Macaca mulatta: one gene and its partner. The protein of the gene in region 2 interacts with the protein of the main gene of each other region in a biochemical or structural test. Links are inferred from orthologs where the notes say so. Each region holds a gene or a part of one and is shown on either strand. Other genes may lie near its edges.

Evidence for each region. The genes of interacting proteins can lie anywhere in the genome.
Region 1: the proteins of ADRB2 (region 2) and GRK2 form a complex in vitro, tested with the Homo sapiens proteins (2 studies listed by BioGRID, with this or other methods). The link is inferred for Macaca mulatta from reciprocal best matches to the Homo sapiens genes ADRB2 and GRK2.

The regions. Positions count from the first base shown.
Region 1 is NC_133419.1:7,115,327-7,125,781, forward strand, and holds the start of GRK2 (beta-adrenergic receptor kinase 1), read right to left. Parts: upstream 6,018-10,455; 5' UTR 5,676-6,017; coding exon 5,563-5,675; intron 4,708-5,562; exon of another isoform or gene 4,526-4,707; intron 1-4,525. UniProt on the Homo sapiens protein: Specifically phosphorylates the agonist-occupied form of the beta-adrenergic and closely related receptors, probably inducing a desensitization of them. Key regulator of LPAR1 signaling.
Region 2 is NC_133411.1:157,781,836-157,791,294, reverse strand, and holds ADRB2 (beta-2 adrenergic receptor), read right to left. Parts: upstream 5,425-9,459; 5' UTR 5,385-5,424; coding exon 4,137-5,384; 3' UTR 4,105-4,136; downstream 1-4,104. UniProt on the Homo sapiens protein: Beta-adrenergic receptors mediate the catecholamine-induced activation of adenylate cyclase through the action of G proteins. The beta-2-adrenergic receptor binds epinephrine with an approximately 30-fold greater affinity than it does norepinephrine.

The sequences.
Region 1 (10,455 bases), on a different chromosome or scaffold from region 2:
GGTGAGGAAACCAAGGCTGGAGGAAGCTGGCTGGGCCACGTGCTCCAAGGCCCACAGTGAGTTAGTGTCAAAGAAAATGTCCAAAGGCTGCCTGAGAAATGGCCTCCCACCACAGCACCCTCCATCCTCCCCTTGATCCCTGTGAAAGAGCTGGGTGCAGGGCTCAGAGGACCCTGACATGTGCCCAGCCTCTGGCCTGGAGGCCCTCCCGCCCCTGACCAGGGGCTGCAGGAGGCGGGCAGCCCCCTTCCCTGGAACCCAGGATGAGAGGCAGCCTTGGCCGGCAGCTGGCAGCCAGGAGCCATGGTTCCTGTGCCTGTCGTGCGACAGCGATGCTAAAGCTTTGCCACGCCAGGACGGTGAGAGCTGGCACGAAGGCTACAGGCCTGGCAGGTCTGGTGCGGCCACTCTGGGAACCGTCCCCTGGGAGATGAGCAAGCGTTCACCAGCCAGCGCAGCAGGGCTTGTGGCTATGGCCGAGGTGCTCCCTGTGGCATTTCCAGGAAACCTGACACCAAGGTGCCAGCAGCAGGAGGAAGTCCCCTGGGGCTTCTTAATGTTTCTCAATGACTCTCCCTGGGGCCAACAACATCCTCAGAGCTCAAGGATGGGGCCACAGACCAAATAGGAAAGACCAGCCCAAACCATCAGTCCAAGGCAAGCCCTGAGCAGTGGAGAGAAAAAGCCAGCTGGCCCGGCACACAGCCCGGGCTCCGGAACGTTGCGTCGGCCACAAAGCAGCTCCCTTGCGGGATGCTGGGGAAGAGGCACTCTGGCGGCCTTGTCAAATGTCACGGCTTCTTCACAAATATGACATGAGCACCCACACCCTGCAATTTACTGCCGACATGGAGACCGTAATCTGCATCACGCTAGAATGCACCAAGAACAAACTTCCAGAACTCTGTGCCCTGTGGTTCCCAGGAGGGGGTTGTCCCCCATCACAAACACGAGATGGCTCTAGAGTCAGAAAATTGCCCCTAACTGGGAACAGAGCTGCCAACATGTTAATACCAGAAAACCCACTTCTGCCAGCATAGACGTGGCCCTTTGCAGTAAGCAGCAAAGCAGAGAAGGGATATTATTGTTTTAGAAAAAAGCTGCAGACAAACATCTCATTTTTAGTATCTCAGTTGCAGCAAAGTAGAAATAACGTGAATATAGCTCCATCCAGCAGCGGAAACTGACCTATGGGGAGCCGAAGGAGAGTAGGGAAGGGGCTTGGGAAAAAGGGGCAGGTGTGAGGGAGGCTGTGCGTCCTCAAGGGCAACACTGTGCTTTTGGTTCCTGCTATGTGTTCTGAGGCAAGAGCATAATCCTGAAAGCAACAGCCAAGCCAACCCGAACCCACTAGCCTGAGCACTCAACCCCTCTGCCAAGCCCACCTGGGTGCAACCTAGGCACGGGGAGGAGATGCTGGCTGCGGAGCACGCCTGCACCTGACGTCACCGGGAACTTACTACTAGGAATTGATTGTGCATTAATAGGACACCTCATTCTGGGTTAACAGCCCAAATTCCCCTGCACAGATTCCAATCTGCATTGCTCACACTCCCTTCAAATCCATTTATCCAGGTAACGGCAGGCGGGTGACTTAACGGCAAATAAGTGAAACCCATGCTCTGGAAAGGAAAGCAGATGAGAAACACATCCCAGAGACCCATTCCTGGGGAACGGGGGGGCTTCAAAGGCCCAGAGGGAGAGACTGCAAGAAAGATCATCTTGTTTTCAGGGAAAGGAGTCAGGAGAATGCTGCCACTGAAGTGGAAAGTTCTGGGTAAGGGACAAAGGCTGGAAGCAGCAGGGTTGCAGCTGGTGCCGCAGGAGTGGAGGAAGGAGGGAGGGAAAAAGCTTCCCGCTGCACTCCTTCCCCCACAAATCAAGGGCAGGAAGTTCTGGCTGCAAAGAGTTAACAGGAACGAGGCAGCGGAGGAACAGGGGCAGGGTCTGGGGAGACAGGGAAGCCAGAAAGGGGCAGGAAGGAGGAAACTCTCGGTGGGGAGGGACCAGGAAACAGCCAAGAAATCGGGAGGCTGCAAGAGGCACCTGGCTCTGACAATCTGCTGCTGGGGCTGCCACTGTCACTGGGGAGGGCAGAGGAACCTCCTGGGAGCGCCCAGGCAGGGCTCCTCAGCTAGGAGCCCAGAGATTAATTACACCAGGCCTCAGTGGTCATATCAAGCAAATGATGAAAATTACAAGACTGCTGGCTGCCGGGAAAGGGAGACGGCAGTTCCTTCAGGGCAAGGTCCAGACCACAGACCCTGAGAGTGAAGGGGCAGCCCCCTAAATTTACCAAGGTGGAAAACGAGGCAGGCCCAGTCAGGCTAAGGGACTGGCCTGGGTCCCATGTGGGCTGGTGGTAGAGGGAGAAGCCAGGTCTCCCATCCTCCAGATACACAATGCTGCCTTACGCTGCCTCCTTCTAGAAGAAGGTCGGGGAAAGGGACTGTTTCCTCGGATTCTATAGGGTGACAGAAGGGGAGGCCCCTGTACCAACTCAATGTGGCACTGTGCCTAACCACTCCCATTCCCTAGGCATTGGAACTCAGAGCTGTGATGCCAGCCCCAGCTCTCGGCCAAGCCACATCCCCAGGCACCAGCCATGGAGGGACTGCCAAGGTGGGCCACCTCAAGGTGTGAACAATTCCCAGAGGCACCCTGTCACGGGGACAAGCCACAGCCCCTCTCCCTGACTCTGACCTTGACCTTGGGGGTATGGGGAAGACAGGCTCCTGCATCTGATGGGACCCCGGAGTGGAGCTGCCCCTCGAGGCAGTAGCTTTGCCAGGGCAGCTCAATTCTCCATCCCAGCCAACAGGAAGGGGGCTGAGCCTTGTGAACTGTGACAGCCAATGGCCCCAGACAAGCGGTGCCAGTCAGCCCACGCCGCAAAATGTGGACAGGGGTGAGAACAGTGGTGTGCAGGGGTGGGTGGAGGGGATAAAGCACAGCAGAGAAACAGCACTGGCCTGTGTGGTCCAGAAACCTGAGGCCCCATTCCAGCTTTCTTCTGTGACGAGAACACGACTCCTCCCCTCCCTGAGCCTCAATGACTTCAACTGCTAAAGGGGAGAATCCCATCTGCTGGGCCTGCCTCCCACAGTTGTCAAAAGGACAAAATGGAGTAAAAAGCACTCTGCAAACGGAAAAGTGTCGGGCAAACATGAGACGTGGTCAGGATCACCATCGGGGCGGCGGGGGGTGCGCTCTGCCCCACTGGGTGTGCAAGGCAAGGCATTATGCAAAGGGTGGCTTGCTCCCTAATGCCCCAGGCCTGGACCCCCATGTAGGGGTGGCCCATAGCCCTTCCCAGGCCTTAGCACACTGACATTCGGCGCTCGCACCTCCAGTCCATTTCACAGATGTGGGCAATTTGCGGAAGGCCATGCTGCTGATGGTGACCCAATGTGAAAACCTGGGCTGCCTGGCTCCGCCTCCTGCTGTCCTCCTAGAATCCTATCCAACCTTGTTTCTGCTCAGGACTGCCTGGGGCGTCACACAGTCCTGGTATTTCTTGGGCAACTACTACATGCAAGGCATGGCCTTGCCAGCTTCACAGGTTGGTTGAAGAATTGAGAGGACAGATGTCAAAACAGGTAAGTCAGTAATAACTCCTATCATTATTGCTATCATCGCCATCACTGCTGTGGATGGGAAAGGGGACAGGAAAAGAAGAACATCTCGTTTCTCCGGGTTCTGACACCTGCAGAGCCAAGGCGGCACCCCATCAGAAGCAATGCATTCTGGGGGGAAAAGTACACGAACGCAGACAGTTCCAGAAAAGGTCCCACCTCACACATTGCCGAACTCCATCCTGCAGGAGGGTCTCAAAGCTGCGGCCACGAAGGAGAGCCGTTTTGAGCCCTAGAGGCTGACTCCCCCATTTCCTCCCTCGTGGGTTTGTCATTTCTGAACTCATTTCTGCACTAACCGTCACTGCTCCCTGGACAGCCCCCAGCTGACAGTCAGTCTGGTTCCTGTTTTGAGAAATCTGATTGCAAATATCTTAGAAAAAAAAGGCCCTAACGGCCTTTTCAGAATGCAGACCAATTTTCCTCTCCCCGGCCTGACGTTCAGTCAATCCAAACACCCAGTGAGCAGGGCATGGCAGAGGGGGCCGGTGAGGGCCATGGGCATGGCACCCCTGCAGCGTCAGCCCAGGCTTAGACAGACACTTCAAAGGCTGAGGGACATCACAGAGTCACAACTCTTATTTCACGCCATCCACATTTCACAGATGAGAAGACTGAGGCCCAGTGAGGGAAGGGACTTGCCCACAGTCACAAGATAAGACCACGGCAGTGTGGACAGGCCCCATTCCCAGCCTGCTGGGGCACCAGGAGGCTAACTCTCAGGCATGCACGAGGAGTTGCCACACGACACAAAGGACCGTGGCGGGCACATCTGCTCCCTGGCGCAGGCCAGGGCAGCCAATGAAATGTAGAACCGGAAGTCTGAAGCCCTGATCTGTTGGCCAGGTGCCACCTGAGACTACCTGTGTGACTTGGCGCAGGCCACTCACCTCTGGAGCTTCAGTTTCCCCACCTGTTCCACAGGGACAAAACCACACCTGTCCTGGCCACCCCATTCGCTGCTGAGAGGCTCACACAGTGGAGAGATACTCCATCAGCCATAAAGAGCTGGACAAACCGCAGCAATCGTCCACATCCTGTGTACTTTTGCACCTACATCCTGAACAGTCTAAACTTTGATACCAGGTGTGATGTCAGTTGTCTTACAGGGGCGGCAGCTAAGGTCCAGCTGTTGCCAGTGTGCTGGGAGGGCCCCTGGTCAACAGCACCCACCGGGCACCATATGCAGTGCACGCCCGAGAAGGAATGTGGGGGAGAGGGCACGGCATGTTTCCCCCACCTGAGCGCGGTCCGAGGGGGAGGGCGTCCGCAGCACCCTAGGTCCTGCTCACCACGCCGCCCCGAAAGCACTCTCAAGCCCAACTACAGGATAGCGACTCCACCAGAGGGTGGGAGAAGAGTCCGGAAAACTGGCTGTCCCCCCACACCTCACACAAGTGTAGACTGGAGGGGAGACGGGTGGGGGTAGTGGAAACCCCAAGGCGGGTGCCGTGAGCAGGGACAGCAAAAGGGTGGGTGACATCGTCAGGCGAGGTAAATGGTGGCCGGCGGAGGGGAAGGGACCCCACAGGGACCAAGGGCTGCTCGGAGGAGGATGAAGGGGCGCGCCGGGCCCCTGTGGGAGAAGGCGGGAGCTAGGGGCTGACAGCGACTGGAGCGGGGGGCCGGCGGAACGCGATAAGGAAGCAGCAGGGCGGCCGGCGGGACCGGAGCGGGCCCGGGGGCCGAAGGGGCAGAGGAGCTCCGGAGTTGGGGCGCTCCGGGCTCAGGCGCCCGGGGTCTGGGGCTTAGCGTCTGGACCCGCAGGCGCCACGGCCGGGCTGCTCCGGGCTCGGGGGCCGACAGAGGGTCGCGAGAGCCGGCCCCGGGGGTCCAAGTCGCGGGGTCGAGTGTGGGGCCAGGGTCTCGGAGTCGCGGCCGGGGTGCCCGCGGGGTCGGGCCGGGGCCGCGGGCGACTTCTCCTCACCTGGGCTCGGGCAGCAGGATCTTCTTGCTGGCGCGCGCGGCCGGCGTGGCCTTGCTCTTCTCCATGGCCATCAGGTAGCTCACGTCGGCCAGCACCGCCTCCAGGTCCGCCATCTTGGCGGCGGCGCTGCCTCCTCCCGCCGCCGCCGCCGCCGCCGCCGCCGCCGCTCCCGCTCGCTCGGCGCTCGGCCCGGTCCGGCCGCGGCTCGGTCGGCCTGGGGCGCCGACGCCTCCCGCCTGGCCCCGCTCGGCGCCCGCGGCTCCGCTCGCCGCCGCTCACAGGCGGCGCCGCCCCATGGCGCCGGCTCGGGCCCGGCCCCGGCTCGCGCTCCGCTCCCGCCGGGACTGCAGTCGGGGCGCCGCCGCCGCCGCCGCCGCCGCCCGCGCGCCCGCGCCCCGGAGCCGCCGCCGCCTCCGGCCCCGCCTGCCGCGCACAGCGCCAGCGAGCCCGCAAGTGGCCGAGCCGGGCGGGCGATGGTGCCCCCTGGAGGCCGCGCGGAGACCTGCGACAGAGGGCTCAGATCCTGGCGGTGACCTCGGGTCTGGACGGAGACCCGGGCCTGGAACAAGACAGGGACCCGGCACGGAAGACGATCCCAGACCCATTCCTTGACCACAACCTCGGGTCACATCTCTGAATCCCAGGCTCTCCAGTCAGGCCGTGGTCCTGACAACAGACATGATCACAAGGAACCTGGACGCTCACCAAGACACAGATTCAGACCTCTGAACACCACCCCGGGGCTTTCATCTCAGACCCTGGCTATAACCCCAGACTCCCTGACCTTTGACGCAGTCCACGACCTGACACCAGACTCCAAACAGGACCCCAGACTCAAACCTTTGCCCGCCACCTCAGACTCTAACCATGACCTCAGATCACAGCCCTGGGTCTCCAACGCCATACCCAGACTGTGACACTCACCCCAGACCCCTAACAGTTCCCCAGATCCAGATTTTGGACCATGACCTCGATCTCATCCTGGTTACTGACCCCAACCTTGACTCTGACCCTAGGCCACTACCATGACCCTGCATCCTAGACTTGGGGTCAGGGCTCAGACCTAGATTGGACTATCAACTCCAGACCACTGTCCTAGGCTCAACACCCAGAACTGTGGACACAGACTTGGGACTAGGACATCTAACCTGGGACCCACATTGGACCCAGAATCCTTAGTAGGTCACCCAGAACCTGGGATCTGACAACTACAGTCCAATTACAGCCTTCCCCCATCCCCGATCCCACCCCTCCTACTCTAGAACCAATCCTGGCCCCTGCAGGCCCACTCTGGATCAAGTACCCTACACCCAACCCCACCCCCTAACAGGCTCGTAGACCCAGGTCCCTGGCCAGCACTCTTGGCAGCTCCCTTCCGTGTACCCCATCCCATCTAGACGCTCCTTCAGGATGGTTCCACATGTAGGGTGAAACCTCTCCCAGCCTGGGAGGGCACAGAGGTTTCAGTGCTGCCTGGTAGGGGAAACCCACCCGAGAGCCCACCCAGAGTGAGGAAAGCCAGGTGTCTCAAGGCAGCAGTCCTATCTCAACATGCCCCTCTCTAGACCCTCTCTTTGCTTTTGAAGTGATAGGACCCTCCTCCCAGCCCTGGGCACATAGAGCTCAAATCTCATTACCATGTTGTGGGCCAGCAACCAGGATCCTTTTGCAAAGCAAGGCTCCCATCTCTGTGCACTTCTAGGCTACCTTCTTGGATCAGTCCCAACAGAACCTGGAACCAGAGCATATCAGAGCTAGTGAGGTTCTCCTCTCAGTGAGTGGTGAGCCCCAGGTTTCTTTTCCCTAACTGCTCCTTCATTTTCTCCCCTTCTCTAATTTGTCACTATAGTCTCCTGTCTGGCCTCCTGAGAATCTCCTTGAATCTGTCTACTTCTCAGGGTCCTATGGCCAGCCACTGCCCTGATGCAGGCCCTGACCAGAGATGCCTTTCCCAGGTCTAGATCTGATGGAGTCACTGCCTGCTTGGCACCAAGAAGCAGCTCTCCAGGCCTTCTGGGGCTACTGAGAGTGAGAGACCTAGAGGGGTCTCTAGGACTCACCCCACTCTGCCCAAAGCAGGTTAGGTGAACAAACTCCTTAATCTGCAAGTCAAGATCTTGGAGGACTTGGACCTTGGATGCTCCCGTTTGTTTTGCTACCATCCTCTGCACCTGGAGCTCCCCCACCAACTCACCCACCCATTCTCACTTCTGTGCCTCTGCTGTTTCCTGGGCCTGGAAGCCCTTCTGTGTACCTTCCTCCCTGGCCAACTCCTACTTATCCGCTAAGACTCACCTCCTCCCGGCAGTCTTCCCTGACTCCCTGACCCCAACTATGTACATCTCCAATTCTACACTTCCCACCTTCTAGGCCCTATTTTCCATCTTCAGTTGCAAGATGCATCATTGCAAGATGCATCATTGCAAGTTTTGAGAGTGGGGAGTGAAGTCTCATTACATATCTGCATCAATTGGAAAATGCATCGTGATGTTGGAAATGCTGTTATATATATTTAAAGAGTACATACTGTCCCCCACTGTCACTGGTGCTCCTAGTTCATCCCTTGCTCCCAGTGCCCACCACAGGACCTGACTCAAAGGCGTCAATGTTTGAGGAGTGAATGAATGAGTGAATGAGCTGTTGGAGCACATGGGGTTTGGAGTGGAACAAGGCCAGATGCCACAACTTGAAGCCTCTAACCTCCTCTCCCCACTGCCCTGTCCTGACTCTTCTGGACTGTGAGCACAGCCACATGTCAGCCAGGGTTTTCGGGAATAACCTCTATTTAAAAACTTCTGCCTGATGAACTTGTCAGACCAGAGTCTGTGTGTGCGTTCTGAAATGCCAGCCATTCTGTTCCAAGAGGTGGCCTTACCTTCCCACTCCCACCTAAAGACTCAGTCCCTCCCACCCACAGCCCAATCCACACCCCCTGCCAGGCCTGAAGCTGGGGTCTTTTGAGGGGGGCTGGTCTCCCTTCGTTGATTCCTGGGCCCAGAAAAAGTGACTTCAGGAAGCCCCAGGTTCAGAAGAGGTTGGTGTGAGCCCCAGGCCTGGGGAAGACTGGTTTTGGGGATGGTGCTGTCCTCTGTTGGTCCTGGGAAGGTCGATTGCCTTTGCAGGTCAGTGTCAGGCATTTCTTCTCCCTACAAACCTTTGTCCTGTGCCTAGACTGCTCCTGACCAGGATGCTAGGAGTGCAAAGTGGAGTGGAGCCCCATCTCCGCCCAGCTGGCAGCCCCACAGACACATCATTACTTGGCATCGCCACTGGATGACTAATAGATGTTGCAAACTTAGCGCGGCCCACACACTGAGCTCTTGCTCCCACTACCCAGCCCCTGTCCAACCTGCTCCTCTCCCGCCTCCCCATCTCAAGCATGGATCCTCCATTTTCCCAAAATCTAGGAGCTGTCCTCGATTCCTCTCTTCCCTCATCTGGCCCCTACCCCCATGTATACCCCTGCTGTCATACAGCATCTCTGGCATATCTGTCTCTGAAGTACACCCTCGATCCTTCCACTGTGCCCTGCTAAACCCTGGCCTGAGTCTCAATCACCTCTTGCCTGCATGCCTGCACCAGCCTCCTCTCTGCACGCCCTGCTGCTCCTGCAGGTTGAGCTTCTATAGATCTAAATCAAAGCCCACCCCCAACGACTGCCCCTGCACTTAGGATAAAATCCACCCCACTTCCTGTGGCCTGTAAGATCTGCACAGACTGGTCCCTGCCCATCTCTCTAACTCGGCAATTTCCATCCTTCCCCTTCCTCTTAGTCTCCAGCCTCTCTGGTCTTCCTTCTGTCACTAGAACAAGCCAAGTCCATTTCCACCTCTGGGGCCTTAGCTTTACAGTTCCCTTGCCTGGACTGCCCTTCCCCACTTCCGGAGTGGCAGGCTCCTCCTCGTGCTGCCACCTTGTGGGCGGAAGAGCTCCTGCTCAGAGGTCTCTCCCTTGGCGTCCCTGTTTGTCCTGGTCACTGCTGCACCCCTCATCCCTAGCACAAAGTAAGGCCTGCAAAAAGAATCAAGACTCCGTGTTAGCCTAGTCTAGTAGGGGAAGAAAACACCTAAACACATATCTCCAATTAACCTGACAAGAGCTATAGTTTAAGGAAGTGAGATCCCAGCACTTTGGGAGGCCGAGACGGGTGGATCACGAGGTCAGGAGATCAAGACCATCCTGGCTAACACGATGAAACCCCGTCTGTACTAAAAAAAAAAATACAAAAAAACTAGCCGGGCGAGATGGCGGGCGCCTGTAGTCCCAGCTACTCGGGAGGCTGAGGCAGGAGAATGTCGTAAACCTGGAAGGCGGAGCTTGCAGTGAGCTGAGATCCGGCCACTGCACTCCAGCCCGGGCGACAGAGCGAGACTCCGTCTCAAAAAAAAAAAAAAAAAAAAAAAAAGGAAGTGAGGGCACTCGGGAGAAGGTCGGGGAGGGTCGGGTAAAGTCTTGAACATGACATTGTGTGCGTGAGCAGTTTGGAAGTGGCATGTGCCAAGGCCCAGGAGTGAGAGTTTTGTCCTGCTGAGACCTCTTTTCTCCGCCTCCAGCCTGGGCTTTGCAGAGCAGGAGGGCGAGCTGGGGGCTCCCTTGACCTCAGCAGGTGTGTGCCAGATTGATCTGGGGACACTCTTCCCCAACATGGACAGCCACTCCTCTGATGTCGGGTCCCCAGAAAGTGTAAGGCTCTGGCTGGGATGCTGGGAGTTGATTCATTCACTTGATTATTTGACAGTATTTGTTGAGCTCCTACTACATGCCAGGCACCTGTGCTTGGCCTTGCGGATCCAACATGGGAAGACACGGGCGGGGAGCTTATGGGCAAACCATACGTGATAACAGCCGCTGACAGGTATTGGATTCTCTTATGTGCAGGGCACTGCAGAGCCC
Region 2 (9,459 bases):
ACCCTGCCTCCTATTATTCATAAAACACCAGAATTTCTCAAGTTCTTGAAAGTGCTTAGGAAGTTTGTTCTCTTAGGCATTTAGAAAAATCCCTCCTTCAAATTATATTTGCACTGTCAGTGAAGTACGGATTAGCACAGACTGAATTTAGTAGAGGTTATACTGTCAATGAAAAGTATCACTGAAAGCATATTAACTTTCCTTGCTCTCTGTTGTCAGAAAATCATCTCCTTTGCTCTAGAATGCTAGCTCAAGATGGACAACATACCTATATGGCTACCCAGACCTATCAAATTTCCATAAAATCCGGCCACCCACTCAATTTAGGAGACCTTTCCAACGCTGGGGCTGAGAAAGAGTTGCAGGATGTAGGGCAGCCTGTGTTTCTGCTTCACTCTGCTGTGTTCGTTTTAGAGTTTCACATCCTCTTTCCATTTTGGTCTGATTCTCTGATGAGAAGACAAAACAAAGACTCGGAGAAGCAAACTAGGCACTTCAGTGATCGGTTTTTTTGTCCCAGTCCCCAGAAACACTGCAGTAACATGCTTGGAAGGGAACATTCCTCCCTGCCTCAACCCACAGCAATCTCCCTCTTCTCTCAACAAAGTATTGCATTTCCAGTTCTTACACTTGTTCTGGCACAGATTCTAAGCTACCTCGTGCTGCTTCCTGTTTTGCCTGGGTGCTAGGCTCCATGGATCCTGGAATCACAGAGACCTGGGTTCTCGTCCTGACTCTGCAACTAGTTGGTGGTATAGCTTTGGAAAGTTACTGAAGCTTTCTGAGCCTCAGCTCCCTCGTTTGTTAGATGAGGACAATTATGCTACCTACATCATACAGTTGTGAAGAGGACATAATGCCTAACAGGTGTCTAATATAGTCACTAACATTTAGTAAGATTCCATAAAAGCTATCTGCTTAGTATCATTAATATCATGCTCCAAAAGGCAGAAACTGAAACCTATACTTTTCTCATGCTACACACAGTAGGTTCTCCAAAAATACTTTCTGATTGATTCTGGTTTAGGCTCCATTTGGCAGTAGGTTCACCATGAGAAACATTCCAAGAATCGTGCAAAGATAGTTCCTATTCTCAAGCTCCCTTTTCTCCAGATTCCTTATCCCATTAATTATTCAGTAGGGAGGCTCACCCTGTCCTGCCACCGTTCACATCTGTCAGCTTGCATCTTAGAAAAAAGTTCTCATTTGACAGACTCTGAGAACTTGCTGTCCAGGCAAAGAAAACTTTCCGATGATGAATACAACACAAATTTTAGGTAGCCAACTTGTCAGCAACAGAGAGACAAAGGGACACCAACAAAAGCCAACCCCTCAAAAGAAACAAAGCAACACACCAAAGAGGTAGAAAGTAAAGGATTAAGATATGGCTAGAATACTCTTGCTTATCAGGACCCTTAAAACTAATCAAAGTTCTTGTGCTTACAATATTCGTAAAGGAATGTGAATATGGTTAAACTCTCCTTTTAGCTGGGAATCTGAATTAATATTAATACCTGAATTTTTCACAGAAATTACATTAGACATTCCTTTAGGCAAAGGAGTATATATACAACACTGACATTTGGTTATAAAGGGCTAAGGAATCTCCCAGCTTCCCTAAATGCAGAAGATATCTTAGTGGACTCTTGCTGAGTTAAATGAGCAATTGTTTCTTTTGTTCCTATTGCAGATTATTTGTTTATGCTCCAAATTTTGTGTTAAGGACAAAAGAAAAATACCTTGGCCGAAATGAATGTGTTATGTTATAGCCCCAGTTGAGGGTGAGGAAAGAACTCAATGCTAATGTGGTGGAGAGAATGCAGCAGTTCCTGGAATAGCAGTTGGGTTCCCTGGCTTGAGTTCCCACTCTGACATCCTTGGCTGCTTACCTTGGGCAAGCCCTTCGCCTCACAGCGTTTCAGTCTCTTCAGATGTTAAATACTTTCTATGGGCTCTTCCATGTCTGAGATTTTATGAGGCTACCGGGAGTATGAAGATTAGCCAAAGAAGCTGCCCAAATCTCTGAGTGTGGGGACCAGAGCAGTAGAGAGAGAATGTGATAATAGGTATGCAAACCCTTGGAAAAAAGTGAAAGCACCGAATGACACACATTCCCCAATTTGCCACGGCATGTTCCAAAATCACAGGCGCCTAACATTCTCCTGAGAGCTCAGTGCTCACCCAAACGTCCCATCATTGAGCTGACAGGAAGCAGAGAAGGCCAATGCTTTTCTGGTTGGGGACCTTGGCTGGGATAGAAAGGAAGAGAGGAGTGGAGTCAGCTTCATGAGCCAGTGAAATGGCAATGAACCCTGTAGGCCGATCTGCCCTAGCCTGGCGTTGCCAAGGAGGACGATCCACTTCATCAAACCTGGGCCAAGCTCTGGCTCAGACACACAGGCAAAAATAGAAAGGGGCTGGGAGAAGAAATGTGTTTACTTTTGTGATTTCCCCTAACGTGCCTCTTGACAGTATTCTAATCTCTTCACAAGCAGGAGCCATGGGCCACAGGCCTCACCTCCATTGACAATTCATGTACAGACCTGAAGCCTTCTTAACACTTCAGGGTCACTATTTGGGCAGCTAGAAAGCAAGTTTAGGAGGCAGCATGATGGAATGGAAAGAGTGCTGATGAGGGTGTGTTACTGCCTAGGTGAACTGTGAAAATCCCTCTCCAAGGCTCGGCACAATCAAGTGCTTGCAGAAAGAATGTATATATCTGCTGAGATTTTTAGTTTCTACCAGTGACTCTCAATCAGGGGCTAATTCACACCTCAGGGGCTCTTTTGCAATATCTGGAAACATTTTTGCCTGTTATAAGCAGGGGATGCTCCTGGCATCTAATGAATAGAGGCCAGAGGTGCTAAACATCCAATGATGCAGCCCTCACAACAAAGAGTTATCTGGTCCAAAATGCTAACAGTGCCAAGACTCAGAACCTTGGTTTATACTGAACCGAGGAGAGTCAGTGGGAGAAGAAAACAGGGACCAAAGGAAAGAAGGAAAAGGGGTTAAAATTCTATTTCTAGGTCACGTGGTATCCATCAGTTATGTGTTCTCCAGTTTTTCTCCCCATGACCAATGCCTTTTTAATTTTCCCTCGGAATTACGGGGCCATGTTCGAGTAGCTTCCTCACAAGAACATCTTCCTTATCCCTAAAATGCCAAGCCCTGATGCAGTACAAAGAGCTCCACTATAACACATGGCCAAGACATAAATATAAACAGTTATGAAACAAGTAGAACTGGAAGGTGGGTGGTGGGGGCGCGTGGAGAGAAAAAAAACATATGCCCATAACTCCGCTTCTGTGAGTCAGTGTTTCCGAGGTAACAACACAGAACAATAACCATAGGGAGAGTTGAGCTATACTAAGAGCAGGCAGAACTGATTTGGGGCATGAGTGTCAGGAGAGATGCAGCTTTGCAGCAGCAGATTCAAAGGCAAATGAAAGGGTTAAGCAATCTGTGCATGTCATTCTTGTATCATTCTACATTAAGTCATGGGCAGTTATTACAAGTAGTTACCTGTGGTTTCCAGTCGGGGAGGCAATGGCACTCCAGACAAGGGGTTTTGGAGAAACAGGTGCAATGAAGGCATGGTCAAACAATTTATTTACTGTAAACTTTAGACTTTGCTCAGGAAAACAACTGAAGCTGCTCCTCAAATCCCTGCCTAAAATACCCCGTGTGAGCAAATAAGAGGAGCGGGGAAGAGTCCATGTTCACAGCTGAAAGGTCCGAGATATTCAAAATCCTCAAGTCCGAGGGTGTGGGAAGGAAAATCTCCTTCAGATACAAATTACCAGCAGCAATATATTACCCCTAATACTTGAATAGTGAGGTAGATACATGGAAAAGTCATGAAAACATAGCAGACTCAGGTCCTCTAGGACTAAAGCCCTTTAGACATAAACTTACAAATTCCATGCAAAGAGGAACTGAACTGTACAAATAACAAATAATCACCAAATAAGTTTTCTCTCTTTTTACAGCTTAAAAAAATAAAAAAGGCAGAAGGATGCCCCTCCTCCTGCATATCTCTATACAATTTTATTCTAAGTTTATTACCCTCAAGTTAAATAGTCTGTTTAGTGTTCTGTTGGGGGGGGGTGGTCTTAAAAAGTAGAAAAACTGCTTTACAGCAGTGAGTCATTTGTACTACAACTCCTCCCTTGTGAATCAATGTTATCGCTAGGCACAGTACCTTGATGGCCCACAAAGTCTTCCGTGCCTGGGAGGTCTTCACACAGCAGTTTATTTTCTTTCTCCTGTTCCAGGTGATATCCACTCTGCTCCCCTGTGTTGCCATTGCTGTTGCTGGAGTAGCCATTCCCACAGGCCTTCAAAGAAGACCTGCGCAGACACAGAAGCTCCTGGAAGGCAATCCTGAAATCTGGGCTCCGGCAGTAGATAAGGGGATTGAAACCAGAATTGACATAGCCCACCCAATTTAGGAGGATGTAAACTTCCTTAGGGATGAGGTTATCCTGGATCACATGCACAATGTTAACGATGAAGAAGGGCAGCCAGCAGAGGGTGAAAGTGCCCATGATGATGCCTAACGTCTTGAGGGCTTTGTGCTCCTTCAAGCAGAACTTGGAAGATCTGCGGAGTCCATGCCCTGTCCGCCCATCCTGCTCCACCTGGCTAAGGTTCTGGGCATGGAAGCGGCCCTCAGATTTGTCAATCTTCTGGAGCTGCCTTTTGGCCTCCTGAAAGACCCTGGAGTAGACGAAGACCATGATCACCAGGGGAACGTAGAAGGACACGATGGAGGAGGCAATGGCATAGGCTTGGTTCGTGAAGAAGTCACAGCAGGTCTCCTTGGCATAGCAGTTGATGGCTTCCTGGTGGGTGGCCCGGTACCAGTGCATCTGAATGGGCAAGAAGGAGGTAAGGCCTGACACGATCCACACCATCAGAATGATCACCCGGGCCTTATTCTTGGTCAGCAGGCTCTGATACTTGAAGGGTGAAGTAATGGCAAAGTAGCGATCCACTGCGATCACGCACAGGGTCTCAATGCTGGCTGTGACGCACAGCACATCAATGGAAGTCCAAAACTCGCACCAGAAGTTGCCAAAAGTCCACATTTTCATGAGAATATGGGCGGCCCCAAAGGGCACCACTGCCAAGCCCATGACTAAGTCAGCACAGGCCAGTGAAGTGATGAAGTAGTTGGTGACCGTCTGCAGACGCTCGAACTTGGCAATGGCTGTGATGACCAGCACATTGCCAAACACGATGGCCAGGACGATGAGAGACATGACGATGCCCATGCCCACCACCCACGCCTCGTCCCGTTCCTGCGTGACATCGTGGTCCGGCGCATGGCTTCCGTTGGGTGCCAGCAAGAAGGCGCTGCCGTTCCCGGGTTGCCCCATGGCGCGCAGTCTGGCAGGTGAGCGCACTGTCTGCAGGCGCCTCAGCGGGCGGACCCCCGGCGGGGCTCTGCGGGCCGCGAGCGGACTCCTGGAAGCCTCATTCAGCGGCCGTGGGGTGGGTGTGGTGGGGACACGTCTTGTACACTTAGCTTGTCGGGTGCCAGGGGCTCGCGGTGCCCGCCAATTCCAGCCTGTGCTCTGGAGAAGCCGCCTCGGAGTGCGCTCTGCCCGTTATGTGCACAGGACTTTAGGGGAACTGCCCTCGCCGTGACGTAAGGGAACTTTCGGCCAATGGCACGCCGGCAGGCCCGAAGGGGCGAGGCACCCATCCCCTTTCCTCCCCTCCTCTCGCCCTCCCTCTGCTCGGGCTGGCCCGGGAGGGGCCCAGCTGCTCCCCGGCGGGCGGGCCACCACTCCTTCCCGGCTACCCTGGCTGGCCCCAGAGGGCTAAAGCTGGAGCTGGCGTGCTTACCAGCCAACCCAGCAGCTTTTGGCTCTTCTGTGGCCGCTACCTGCCTGCCCTGGGCGCCTGCGCGGCCTGAGGTCTCAGGGCAGAGGGCAGCACACACCGGCACTGCCCCACATTCGGAGAGAAACGAGAGTGCCCACCAAGGCACGCACATACAGGCACAAATACACCCCGGCAGACATGCTCAGACTTATACGGAACCACAGCTATAGACACTGAGACACACCCTCCCGGCTCACCGACATGCACACTCGCGCGCGCGCTCACACAGAAGCTGTCAGGCACAAAGTCACCCCTGTCCAACACAGAAACGCGGCCACAAACAAACACAGAAGCACCCAGAAGCACAAAGGCATGGTGACACACACAGAAAGTAAACACACACGCTGGCTTGGAGGCATCCAGAGCGACACAGACACGGATGTCTCCATCTGGGTACTCACAAACTTCCCTCACCCAAGCACTGCTAATGCCCCCCTCCCAGCATACACCCGGTAACCCAGTATATTCACTTTCAAACATTTGGCAAGAGCACACAGGAGGTGACTTCAACAGCTGCCGATTTCCTCAGCACACTCGTTGTCAAGTACTTTGGGTGCCCTCCTTGGGAATTTGCAGGCATGAAGACAGTTTTACCCTTTGGATTTCACCTGGAGCAGGAGTATGCATGTATGTATTTCGGGACGGAGAGAGAAAGTTGTGTACTTTTGTTTTAATTTTTTTGTTGTTGTTTTGTTTTTAACTCTTGAGAGTGTGGCATCACTCCCTCATTATCTGTTGAACTGGAGATGCACTGAGAATTCAAACAATTTCTTCAGTAATCCCAATGCAACTAAAAAATTCCTTTCATCTGCTGGATAGTTTGTTAATCTTTCGGGTTGCACCATATGAAATTGCCACCATCTGGCGTCTGTGACTTACCAAAATGGCAAATTCATATGGTTCAGAGTCTTAAGAGTGTCTTAACATTAAGAACATTTGGAGCTATAGAAAGCAAAAGATCTTGGCCAATATGGTGTAACTCTGTCTCTACTAAAAATACAAAAATTAGCCAGGCGGGCACTTGTAGTCTTAGCTACTCGGGAGGCTGGGACAGGAGAATCACTTGAACCTGGGAGGTGGAGGTTGCAGTGAGGCGAGACCGTGCCACTGCACTTCAGCCTGGGTGACAGAGCAAGACTCCATCTCAAAAAAATAAATAAATAAATAAATAACAAATATAAATATATATATATAAACAAATATATAAATATATAAATACAAATTATAAATAAATATACAAATAAATAAAAACCAAATATATAAATATATATATATATATTTCTTCCTTATGAAATAAAAAAAGTAAGACCAAACCTCAAAAGTAAGATCTTTGTTCATGAAATACTATCCTTTGCATCTGGCATGTGACTTTACTGCTAAAGTGAAATTAATTTTCAGGGTTTGATTTCCCATGTATTAGTGGTGTCTTTGAAAAACTGAAACTATTTCATGAAGTGTAACTAAACATACTTTGCAGATTACATAATAACATAACAATGGCTAACATTTATGGACCATTCTGCTATGTGCTTTTCATGCATTATTCTATTTAATCCTTCCCACAGTCCCATGGGGGTGGGGACTATTTTTAGCTTAATTAACAAGTGAGGTTCGAAGAGGAAAATGGCCTTCCCAGGGGCAATGGCTGGGCTGTGCCAGAATCTGGATTTGACCCAGGTCTGCCTGAGTCTAAGACCCATCTTTTAATCTTTTCAATGTATTGCATAATTACATGCAGACAGGAGTGATGGACAGGGAGGAAGCACTACAACTGGAATTGGAATACCCACGTTCCAGATTCACCAAACTTGGAGCTTTCTAGTTCATTTTTTTTTCTAAGAGAAATCAAAAGTACCTAATTTCCATTATCTCTAAAGGGGCATAAAGTCTCTTCCATTGGGGTGAGCAAGAATTGAATAATATAGTAAGAAATATGAAAATGCTTTTGCTCATATAAGTGTCACACAAATACAGTTTGTAAGTGAAGTTTATGTAAATTACTTAGCGGTTTAGAATATATTGTTAGTCTTCTCTACTAGAACAATAAAATACTTTAGGGCAAAAGTAAGTTGGGTGTTTACTCTGGAAGCAAAACTCAGAAACAGAATTTAACCTACATGTCCCCTTTAACATCCTTCACAGCAGAAACTGACTTTTTGCAAGACAGATGCCTTAGAAAACAAGTATTTCCGATAAAATCCACAAATATTAATTAAGGATCTATTATATTCACATAGTTTTCAAAATATACTCACCTCATATTTGTGTTTTCCAAAATTGGCTCTGGCATGATGCATTTTAGGAAGAGGCAGTATTTGTTATGCAACAACGTTTCTTTAAATACACATCTACTCAAATTGTGGAACTAAACGATTTAAAACCTCCTTCCTGTTTGTGAAGCTATGGCATAAATAAGCATATTGTTTAACCTTCCTATAATAAGAAAAGAACAAAGAAAACCCCTTTAAGACAAATATTAACTGATCATGTATTTAAATATACACATAAATCACTTAAAAGTTTAACTGAATATTTTGGGAAACTCCTTTTTTAAAACCCACAAATGCTAAATCAAGAACTGGCTAGCCATATGAAGAAAACTGAAACTGCACCCCTTCCTTAAACTTTATACAAGAATTAACTCAAGATGAATTAAATACTTAAACGTAAGACCTAAAACCATAAAAACCCTAGAAGAAAACCTAGGCAATGCTATTCAGGACATAGGCATGAGCAAACACTTCATGGCTAAAACACCAAAGGCAATGGCAACAAAAGCCAAAATTGACAAATGGGATCTAATTAAACTAAAGAGCTTCTGCACAGCAAAAGAAACTGTCGTCAGAGTGAAGAGGCAACCTACAGAATGGGAGAAAATGTTTGCAATCTACTCATCTGACAAAGGGCTAATATCTAGAATCTACAAAGAACGTAAACAAATTTACAAGAAAAAACAAACAACCCCATCAAAAATTGGGCAAAGGATATGAACAGATCCTTCTCAAAAAAAACCATTTATGCAGCCAACAAACATATGAAAAAAAGCTCATCAACACTAGTTACTAGTGAAATGCAAATCAAAACCACAATGAAATACCATCTCACACCAGATACAATGGCCATCATTAAAACAGGAAACAGGGAGGGCACGGTGGCTCACGCCTGTAATCCCAGCACTTTGGGAGGCTGAGGCGGGTGGATCACTTAAGGTCAGGAGTTCGAGAGCAGCCTGACCAACACGGTGAAAGTTCGTCTCTAATAAAAATACAAAAATTAGCCAGAAGTTGTGGCACCCCTGTAGTCTCAGCTACTCTGGGGCCGAGACAGGAGAATCGCTTGAACCTGGGAGGTGGAGGTTGCAGTGAGCTGAGATTGTGCCACCGCACTCCAGCCTGGGCGACAGAGTGAGACTCCATCTCAAAAAAAAAAAAAAAAAAAGAAGTCGGAAATAATAGGTGCTGGAGAGGATGTGGAGAAATAGGAACACTTTTACACTGTTGGTGGGAATGTAAATTAGTTCAACCATTGTGGAAGACAATGTGGCAATTCCTTAAGGATCTAGAA